2 linked regions of the Arabidopsis thaliana genome follow. The protein of the gene in region 2 purifies or fractionates together with the protein of the main gene of each other region. This does not show direct contact. Each region holds a gene or a part of one and is shown on either strand. Other genes may lie near its edges.

Evidence for each region.
Region 1: the proteins of AT2G37020 (region 2) and AT2G03780 fractionate together in Arabidopsis thaliana (co-fractionation; one large-scale study listed by BioGRID). This does not show direct contact.

The regions. Positions count from the first base shown.
Region 1 is NC_003071.7:1,151,946-1,156,405, forward strand, and holds AT2G03780 (Translin family protein), read right to left. Parts: upstream 2,378-4,460; 5' UTR 2,341-2,377; coding exon 2,256-2,340; intron 2,224-2,255; exon of another isoform or gene 2,167-2,223; coding exon 2,060-2,166; intron 1,837-2,059; coding exon 1,757-1,836; exon of another isoform or gene 1,657-1,756; coding exon of another isoform or gene 1,640-1,656; coding exon 1,498-1,639; intron 1,410-1,497; coding exon 1,260-1,409; intron 1,154-1,259; coding exon 952-1,153; intron 869-951; coding exon 771-868; 3' UTR 501-770; downstream 1-500.
Region 2 is NC_003071.7:15,544,437-15,549,826, reverse strand, and holds AT2G37020 (Translin family protein), read right to left. Parts: upstream 3,414-5,390; 5' UTR 3,317-3,413; coding exon 2,920-3,316; intron 2,686-2,919; coding exon 2,589-2,685; intron 2,513-2,588; coding exon 2,397-2,512; intron 1,692-2,396; coding exon 1,647-1,691; intron 1,512-1,646; coding exon 1,486-1,511; coding exon of another isoform or gene 1,438-1,485; exon of another isoform or gene 1,368-1,437; coding exon 1,232-1,367; intron 1,148-1,231; coding exon 1,035-1,147; 3' UTR 790-1,034; downstream 1-789. Other genes in the region: NAP12 (non-intrinsic ABC protein 12), read right to left, coding at 3,668-3,824, 3,912-4,045, 4,137-4,426, 4,529-4,677, 4,759-5,223, 5,309-5,390.

The sequences.
Region 1 (4,460 bases), about 14 Mb from region 2:
AAGAGATTTAAAGCAAGCTTCCTCTTAACCCAAGTCTCTCTTAGAGGCTAATTGTTGGAAGTTGTGTTTTCATTAGCATAAAAATCCTTTATATAAGCCATGAAATCTTAAAAATAAAAAGGAAAAACATCAAAACCCAATAATCATATCACACAGATTGTACTATTGTGGTATTGCTTGCACATAACTCTATATATAACTAGATTATGAACATCTTAAAATGTGAGATTTTTCTCTATTTTTATCACTTTCTTTACAAAAGAAAGATTTATGATTTCAAAATAAAACTCTATCTATGAATGATAGATATAAATTTATAAAAAATGTCAAAATCCTATATAAAAGTACCAAATGTCGAACTATAATAAGATGCATTATATGTAGCTGCATAAAAGATAAGAGTATCTATATATGTTTCCTCATTAAGCACAAACAAACAGCAAGAACCAAAAAATGTACTTTCTGGATTACGAAAGATCTAGAAAAAGTGAAGAAGGGCCAAAATTATTAACTTGAATAATAAAGTAATTGCTAGATTCTATTATAAATTAGCTTCCATTCAACAAAAGAAAAGTTTTACATCTAGTTCTAACCATTTGTTTCTTAAAAGTCTTGCAGCATACAGATTTAAAGTTCCTCAGAAGTAAGAAGTGGCTAAAATTCTCTGAAGATAAGTCCATACTAAAACGATCCTACTTGTCGCAAACACACCAACCTTAACAAGAACTTTAAAATGTGTCCGAGAGACGGAAAAGACCACTCACTTTTAATCATTCGACATCAGCAGCTCCCAATAGGTATGATGTTGGTGCATTATCTCCAAGCAGTGGAATATACTCTAATCCTCTCACGTGAACGCTAAAGCAAGCTAATAAACAAACAAACAAAAAAGAGTTACAAAAACGTATTGGTTGGTATCTAATAGTGTGCGGATATGAGATTTGTGCATACCGTTCTCTATTTTGATCACACTTTGAAGCATCACTTCCATCTTGGATTTCATGTCATAACTGTCATCCATCTTTGGCACAACTAGCATTAGTTCCCTATGAATCTGTCGAACAAACTGACAAATCCTCTGCGCGAATTCGATTTCACCGTCTGATATGCGACCAATTGCCATCCGCATTAGCTCTCCCGTCAAATCTGCAAGCTGTGCAAGTAACAAACAATAATCAAACATAATTCAGAACTCCAAACAATAGAGAACATCTTTGACAGTAAGTATTAACCATAAATAAAGATGGTCTAAAAAATACCCCAAGAATATAGTCGAGGATATTGATCTGCAACGGCTCTAAAGAAGGGTCACTAAGTGGTACAAGCGTTGTGTTAATCTCATCGAGAGTACATAGCGTCCCAGACAAACAGAACTTATAAAACGTTGCAGCTTCAACATATTCCTGCACCTGTAAGTTACACAAAACCACAAAACATATCAGTTAAACCATTAACCAAAATCGTACCAAAAGATGAATGATTTTCCGTTTCACAAACCCCTGGGGAATAAGCACGTCTCAGCTTCCAAAAATCAGTCCCTTGAAGCTCTTTCATTAGCCGGGCAAAATGTTGATCCCTCACTGCTTCTAAATCCTTCCCTGCTTTCTCCAATACCTCCTCTTTGTTGTCTTTACTGAGCCTGCCATATAACAACATAGTAAACAAAACAAACAAACAGTATCTTGATGAAGAACACAACAAAAACACACAAAATCTTGATGAACACAAACAAAAACAACAGAGGTGTTGAAATTACCTGTGAACCTGAAAGATAACTTTTTTGCTGTTCATTGTGATATCACGACTTACCTTCACCACTCTTTCTCGCTTCTCATTCTACAAAGAAACAATCATAGAAACCAGATAAAGCCTCCTCCTTTATTCTCAATTCGCTATAGAATCTATTACAAAACCCAAGTTGCAACATGAAAGATCATTTCTTTAGTTGTCTAAACCTATAAACCTTACTTAAAGGACTCAATCCCATGACGCAAAGGTTCAATCTTTATAAACAAACAGATAAACCCAGGAGAAACAATGGAGCAGAGGAAACACTTACGAAGTTATTGAGATAATCAGCGTAAGTAGAGAAAGCATCTTTCATTGAGGATTCAGTACTCATCGTCCTAGCTTTCTTAACCAAATGTTCAACACCACTCTCTGCAACTACACAAACACCAAAACCATCGTTACTAATCAACACTAAAGACCACACAAAGCAATAGATATATGTAGAAGTGAGTGTGTATACATACTTTGATGGAGTCTCTGAGGTTTTAATTTGGGAGCCATAAGCATAAAGGCTACTCTTTGGAACGCCGATGAAGAACAACTCAACATCTGTCTGATTTCTCCGATGCTCACTCGAAGCCCAAAGGTTTATTTCGCGATGCTTTAGTTTGAAAGTTAAATATTAAACGAGAGAATAAGGAGACATCAGGTGCTGTGGTGTAGTGGTTATCACGTTTGCCTTACACGCAAAAGGTCTCCAGTTCGATCCTGGGCAGCACCAGTTTTTTGTAATTAGGATTGATTGATTCATTTTTTCTCCACGGTTTTGAATGGTATTTTTAATTAAGGTTAATTTACAGTATATTGTTTTTTTCTTTTCCTAATTTTGAATGTGTTCTACAACCTAGCTTATTTTATGTACAAAAAGTGTTCAATAAAGTGCATAAATCAATTTGAGATGACCAACATTCTTGTAAACTATGATGGTAGATGTTAGAGAATATTTTGAACTAATTGGATTTGAGTTTAATACTAATTTGATTTCATAATGATAAATGAGCATTTAGTAATTGTTGGTTTTACGTTTAAATGGTAATTCCTATATAGATGATTAGTTTTGTTCCATGTTCAAAATATTGTTAGTCGTTAATTAGACAGCCGATGGGTCCTAATGATTACTCGGTTAATCGAAGAATAATCGAAAATTAGTTTTAAAATTATTTTATATATCTTAGGTTTACATACAATTTATGTTATAAAATGTCACATAATAAATTATGAGTCTTATAATAATTTTATGGATATCATTTTAGAAAAAATGAAAGCTAAGTCTATTAAGCAAACATATAACTATATTTGGTTGTTCCTCAAACTTATACGTTTTTGTTCACACAACATATTATCTATTTGTTTACCAGCCAAAATTTATTAAATTTTCATGAGCCAAAATTTACTCATCAGTGTGACTTTGCTGCCAAATATTTCATAAACCACCGTGAAACAATGATTTAGAAAATGTAACTCTCTAGAGAAAAAATATATGTTTTCTTTCTTAGTGATGAATTGTGTAACCTCGACTGTCATTCAGATAATTTTCTTGTTTTTTTTGTTTTCTCTAAGTTTCAGTTTCAAGTGTAGTAACTCTCAAACGGGCATGAATCAACAAACACTTTATATTATGTCTTCCATTTAAAGTAGTATAATCATTTGGATTATGAATTGTTTTTCAACAATTTATGGATCATGACTTTTTTTGTCAATAATTTATGGATCATAACTTTGATGATATATGACTGTTTATATGTATCTAGGTTACAAAATTAAACAAATTTACAATACTTAGTGTTATCATATGGATTAATCAGATTATATTATTCATTGTCATTAGATGGATTTTTGAAGATTAGTCAGTCAAAAGTATGCAAAATATCTTAGCATGATGCGAGACAAATTCAATAGGTGGGTTGGTTTAATTTGATTTTCATAAATGACAATGGTATTGTTAAAAAAATAAATAACAGGTGATCCCCAAAACTTGTAATCCATAAAACATACATATTATACTTTAATTTATTTTACAAATGTTTTTTTATATATAACTAACAAAACAATAATATTTGTGATGACCAACTCATAATCTTATTCTATATATACTTACTGTAAAATATATACTCTTTGGCGTAATAAATTAAGAAAACTTAAAAATTAAATATCAACAAATTAAAATAGAATTTTTTTTCTCTCTCGCAATTTACTGCTGGTTCAATCCTAGTTTTTAGCGGATGTTATTTTAATTACTAAGTTTCGCGCACAGAAAAAAAAAGTTATTTATCTACTATACCTCATTTCTAAACTAAATCACTATGCATAAAAAAAAAACTATAAGAAGACATATTCGGCTCATAATTTCAGAAAAAAAAAACTTGACATTAGTTATGCATGTGATATTATATTATATACTTTCTATGTGATATATACTTTTCTTTTTCTTAATATAGATAAAAAAACTCCAAAAGTTTTTAAATTGCTAAATTACTCTAACCAATTATTTGAAATGATATTTTTGTTATTTGTTTTTGATTAGTCCTTTTAACATTTAAATTCCCCTATCACAGAATCAAGACTCAAAAATCGACAAAATTGATTTGTACTTATCAACTCGATTCAAGACTCAATTTGATTTAATTTTGTTTGTTACGGTTTTTTTTTTCTGTAGCAAATTGCTGAGT
Region 2 (5,390 bases):
TGTTCTCTCCAAATTAAAAAACATTAATTTGCCTCAAATCTAGTGAAAATATATAAATAAGTAATATAAGATTTACTTAAGAACAGAGGACAGACATTCTATGCAATTACAGTATAAAGAAACAGAGTAGCCAGACAAATTTCTGTCGGATGATCTCAGTCTCATTGACAGAATAGATAAACACAAATAAAGAAAAATCAAAACTCTCAGCAGCTACAGAAGCGTCAATGTTTTAAATGTTTATCACAACATTCAAAATGCAAATGCAATATAGAAAAAAAAAAAAAAACATAAAAGAAATATACGTATAATGTGGGCCATAGAGACGACTCACAGCTGTTACATTAGAAAATAATAATAAAAATATAACTTTCCAGGGAAGAAAAAAAAGAAAAGAAAAGAAAATCCAGCTGCTTAGCTTATCCCCTTCCTTTAACTAAACACCTGCAATTTGAAGAAACTAACAATCCGAGAAAAAATCGAACGATATCATACATTACATTTGTGTTGGAAAAGAGATCGTTCAAGTTCAAGAGAGAATCTAACACAATGTCAGCGAAAAGAATAGTACTCGAAGCTAAGAAAAAAGATACCAAAGAGAGACGACGAGAGGAGACGAAGAACACTGACGCAGGAGGGGAAATGGCGACTGTTAGACTTGGATTTTGTTTTTTTGTCTTTGTTTCGGATTCCAAAAGCTGATTTATTTAGTTTTGAAATCCAAAATGACGTAAGACACCGTCAAATATAACGTGCGTTTCAAGTCCGCAACGATGGACAGGTGGAGTTCATGAACATCTACTGTTATACTATTAAGCTGCTGACTTCGGATAACAGTAAAGTTGTGACTAAAATGTGGGCTTTCAAGGCCCACAAAAGGAATACTTGCCGTTTTCAGTAATTGCAAACTACACCTAAAAACTACAGTCTCTCTATTTTCCTTGCCGTTTTTGGTTTAGAGAAGAACACTCCTTGACGTTTTCATGCTAGCTAAACAAAGTTATACATAAAAACTTAAAAAGAGCCGAGGACATTTAGGATTGGCCTTGGACTGCTTGGACGCCAGGAGGATCTCCGCCGGAAATCAAACCTCGGATCTTGACATCATAGTAAACTTCTTCCACTCTTCTTAGGTCGTACTTCATACCTGTCACATGTCAAAATCGATTTTTTTTTTATGTAACCATCGCAAATGGAGAAAGAAGAGCAGTTAGAGATATGTATGACTTACTGTCGAATTTCTTGCGCAGGAAATCGTTCCTGAGATTGAGCATGCGAAAGGCTGCATGAAGATCTGTCAGGAAATTCATCACCTTTCTTGGGCAGTCATAGTCTCCTGCTGTCACTCGATTAACCACGTACCTAGGCTGCTCAAACATTGCATCACCCATTTGCATTTATCCAAAGGTTTTTCATAAGTTGCTATCAAGTAGGATGCTAAGGGGGAAGATGGAAAGTAAGATTTAGGGATAAAAATGATCTTACCAAATCGTTTGACATGAAACAAATTCCTGCAAAGTATTCAAAAAGCTGAAGATCAGAGAATATAAAAGCAATGTTGCGATTCATAAAATGCTCGTAAGGCATATTTGATCTATAGATATTGGCCTTCCAGAGCAAATATGGGTTCTTTCTCAGAAACTTACCAGTGAGATAATCTTCTGTCTCCAATCCAAACTCCAAACTGTTCACTGAAGTACAATGAAGTGGAATTAGAAGAGCCATAATGGCAGATGAATTGACCAACACCTTGTTCTGTTTATTTTACTCAAAGACAATTGATTTGACAAGATAACAAAACCCAGATTTGAAACAAAACGACACTTGGGCAAATATCTATTCTACACCAACGTAATGAAAAACCAACCTTCCAATTATCATCCATCCATCCTAAGGGAGAATAACTGAGTTCATGGGAAACGGCAACTAATAACTCTATTGAGGTGAAAAAATCAAATCTTAGCTAAATGGTTGACACTACAGTGGATAAAATGCAGACTGAAACAAAGCCTAAGGACAAAATCAATAACAACGAGCAAGAAAAGGTAGACTAATTAACATACTGATAAGAGAAGAAGACTAGTGGCAAACTGAATCTGATTATTGAGAAAAGTAGAAAACTCGTTCATTTAGTTTTTCCAACTGAGACAGGTCAGGCAAAAGGAGGGTCACAGGATAACACGTATAGTATGTTGGAGTCATGAACGGATTTCAAATTGATTGCCTACTGCCAGCTCAGTTGTTACCTATTGTGGGAAGGAAGTTTCTATACAAAAGTTTGTGAGAGAACTAGCAAAACAAAATAAGGTTTTATTTATAGTGCAACCACTAGGCCATGATATGTATTTCAGTATTTGGAAGTAAGGAAAATAGTAAATTGAGATCCAGAGACATACACCCAAGTTTTTCTTCAGCTTCGGTATGCACGAGAAGAGTTCCAGTTTCTAGCCAGTGCATAAAAGCAAGCTGGGAGACCACTGCCTGTGTTTCACTTCTCCAGTCTCCATGGTACCTACATTACAAAAACCTTTTAACAAAAAACCATTGCAAATAAAGAAAATCTAACTACACATAGCTTTCAAACTTACCTATAGTATTGTCCAGGACACTCCTCAAGAATTTCAGCAAGCCGACCATAATACTGCTTCAAATCAACGATTTTTTCCTTAGCTTTCTCGATAACCTCTGATCCATCAACAAAACGAGCAATCTATATTAGTAACAACCAAACACTTCCAATGAATTTCTTAAAAGAACAAAGGCTATGTGTAATTCAATATTCATTCTTTTCTCAACAAGTTCTTCATTTTTAGTTACTTCCCTTCATAGAGAACTTCATCACCAAGTTCTGAACCCATCAAGCCATTTCAAACATTTAGCTAAAAGATGCAATTTTTAACCTAAAGACTAATCATTTACCAGGAATAGGACGCGATTGATGAACGAGAAGAAGATTAGCTTGAATAAGCCTAGTAGCAGACTCAATCTCCATAACCACAGCACGAATCTGCTCTCTCAAAGCTGCAGATTCTTCCAATTGAACACGGAAACTCTCGAACTGCTTCTCAAGCGAATGAGACACCTGACCATCTCCTCCCGCCATAGGAATGTAGAAAGAAGAAAAGGAAGAAGTCGAACAGAAGGGAAAGGAAGATGAAGGAGACACCGAGTTTCTATGCCGGAGAGGATTGGAACGGCGAGGAGAAGCGTCGCCGGAACAGAGAGGAAGAAAATGGAGAATCGAAGAAGAAAAGGGCTTAGGGTTTATCAAACGAGACGCAGTGATGTGAACGTTTCGAAACGCCGAATTCATCATCGTGTCGTGTTTTTTAGTTACGCCGCTTCCCTATTCTCTTTCCGACATCATCTTAGTAACCAATTAAACCGGATCATATAAACCAAAGAATCGTAACTGAAAATAAACCGATTTCTTTGTATATCATTCTCTGTATGACTCTATCTTACCAAAACCGGTTACCATATAAAGAAAGAAAAAGCATGATGAATAATCACCATTATCTACAAATAAAAATTACAAAATTGGAATTCTAAAATCCCTTCTTCTCTAATTCTATAAACTACTTATATAACTCATTTAATATTTAACGTATGAAAAATAGAAGAATTTTACAAAATGTAAGCTTTTTAATCATGTGTAATTATTAGATTATTTCTTCTGGAATGTAACCATGCAGAAATAAGCTATGAATCGGCATATTAGTCCCATGAGAACGAGAACAATGAGACACAATATCCAATCACTAAGATCATATCCGTTTTGAGACAATGAACTGCATCTAGTCACCACCCACACTCCAGAGTACCTAACCCAAAAAAAAGAGTCCAAAATCAAATTTTCTGAATTAAGATTTGATTATGTGTTAGAAGAATTAAATCTTCAAACTTTCTACCTTTGAGCATTGGAAAGGACAAAGGCTTCGAGAGTCCATTTGGGGTAGCAAAAGCTTCCGAGATACTTAAGGACCATGCTTTCTTTATCTTGATTAGCGATAAGAGTCATAACAACGGGGACTAACACCGACAACTGCAAGAACATAACAGCAAATTCAGGTACCATATGGTTAGTGAAAATTTTGGTTCCTTCATATATGAATTATGAGAAAGTGAGGACAAACCAATTGTGCGGCGCTAGGACTGTACAATATGGCAAAAATGTAAGCCATGCCTGTTACACAGTAGACCAAGCATACTAGTACAATGTAGTTGTCTTCGAAACTAGATCTCGGGTTGTTGAAGAAGTAGAACATGGACAAGTACACTAAAGGTTTCATAATTGTGTTTAAATGGTCCATTGTGTCTTTAGCCATAAAATGTGCCAAACTGCTAATTCCAGCGGCACTTTCTCTCCAATATTGTAATTTATCTACAGAGAATGATCTCAATGCCGAGATCTTACACAAAAGAGCTACAAAAAAAGAAAGACATACAGAAAAGAGCTTAGTTAACGTTCCAAAAATCGCGAATACTAGTAAATGTAAATTAATATTTGTGTACGTAAGAAACTTACAGACAGCTATTATGGTGTATGTGTAGCCAAGTGTATCGATTGTCTCGTCGTTCACCTTCGCAAGAGTTCCTAAACAAGCTCCCGCAACTAATAATATTAGGAAATCTAACGCTTGTAGTCTTGCTTCTCTAAGCCGTTGTTTTCCAACCCTGAAATAGATAGACTAAAGTTTTAATGTACATATGAAATTAACCACAAAATTCCATCTATCAAATCTAGAAAAATCATACCTTCCAACAAAATATCTATATTGTCGACCTACGGTAGGAGTTACTCGATTAGAATTGTCATGAGAATTCGAGTAATTGTGTTGTAACTGATCTTTTGTAATCTCCACATTAGTTTTCACATCTTGCCATAGATCATTACTAAAAGAATTATGAGTGGAATCCTCTTGAGCTGATCCAGTTGACGAGGAAGGAAGTCCATCACAAAATTTCAACATATCGTGAGGCACAGGGTAACCATTGTGCAGCATCCATCTCACAGGAAGTTGTTCTATAGTTATATCACCATCTGGTTTCACAATGCCTTCAAGAATATCTATATAATGATCAGGAGGATTGACACGATCGGGAACCGTGATTCCGATATCAGCAAAATATTCTTCTATTTTTTTGACTGATCCATGGTACACGGTAAGACCACCTTTTGCTAGTATTATCATGTCATCGAACATTTTGTACATTGTATAACTAATAAGAGGAAAAAACCAATTATTAAGCAAAAAGTATTTCTTAACATAAAATTGTAACATAATTCATGGAGGAGATAACATACCTGGGTTGATGGACGACCATACAAATGTTAACACCTTCAAGTGCTTCACGTCGAAGTGCTCTAAGAAGTAATTGTGAAGATG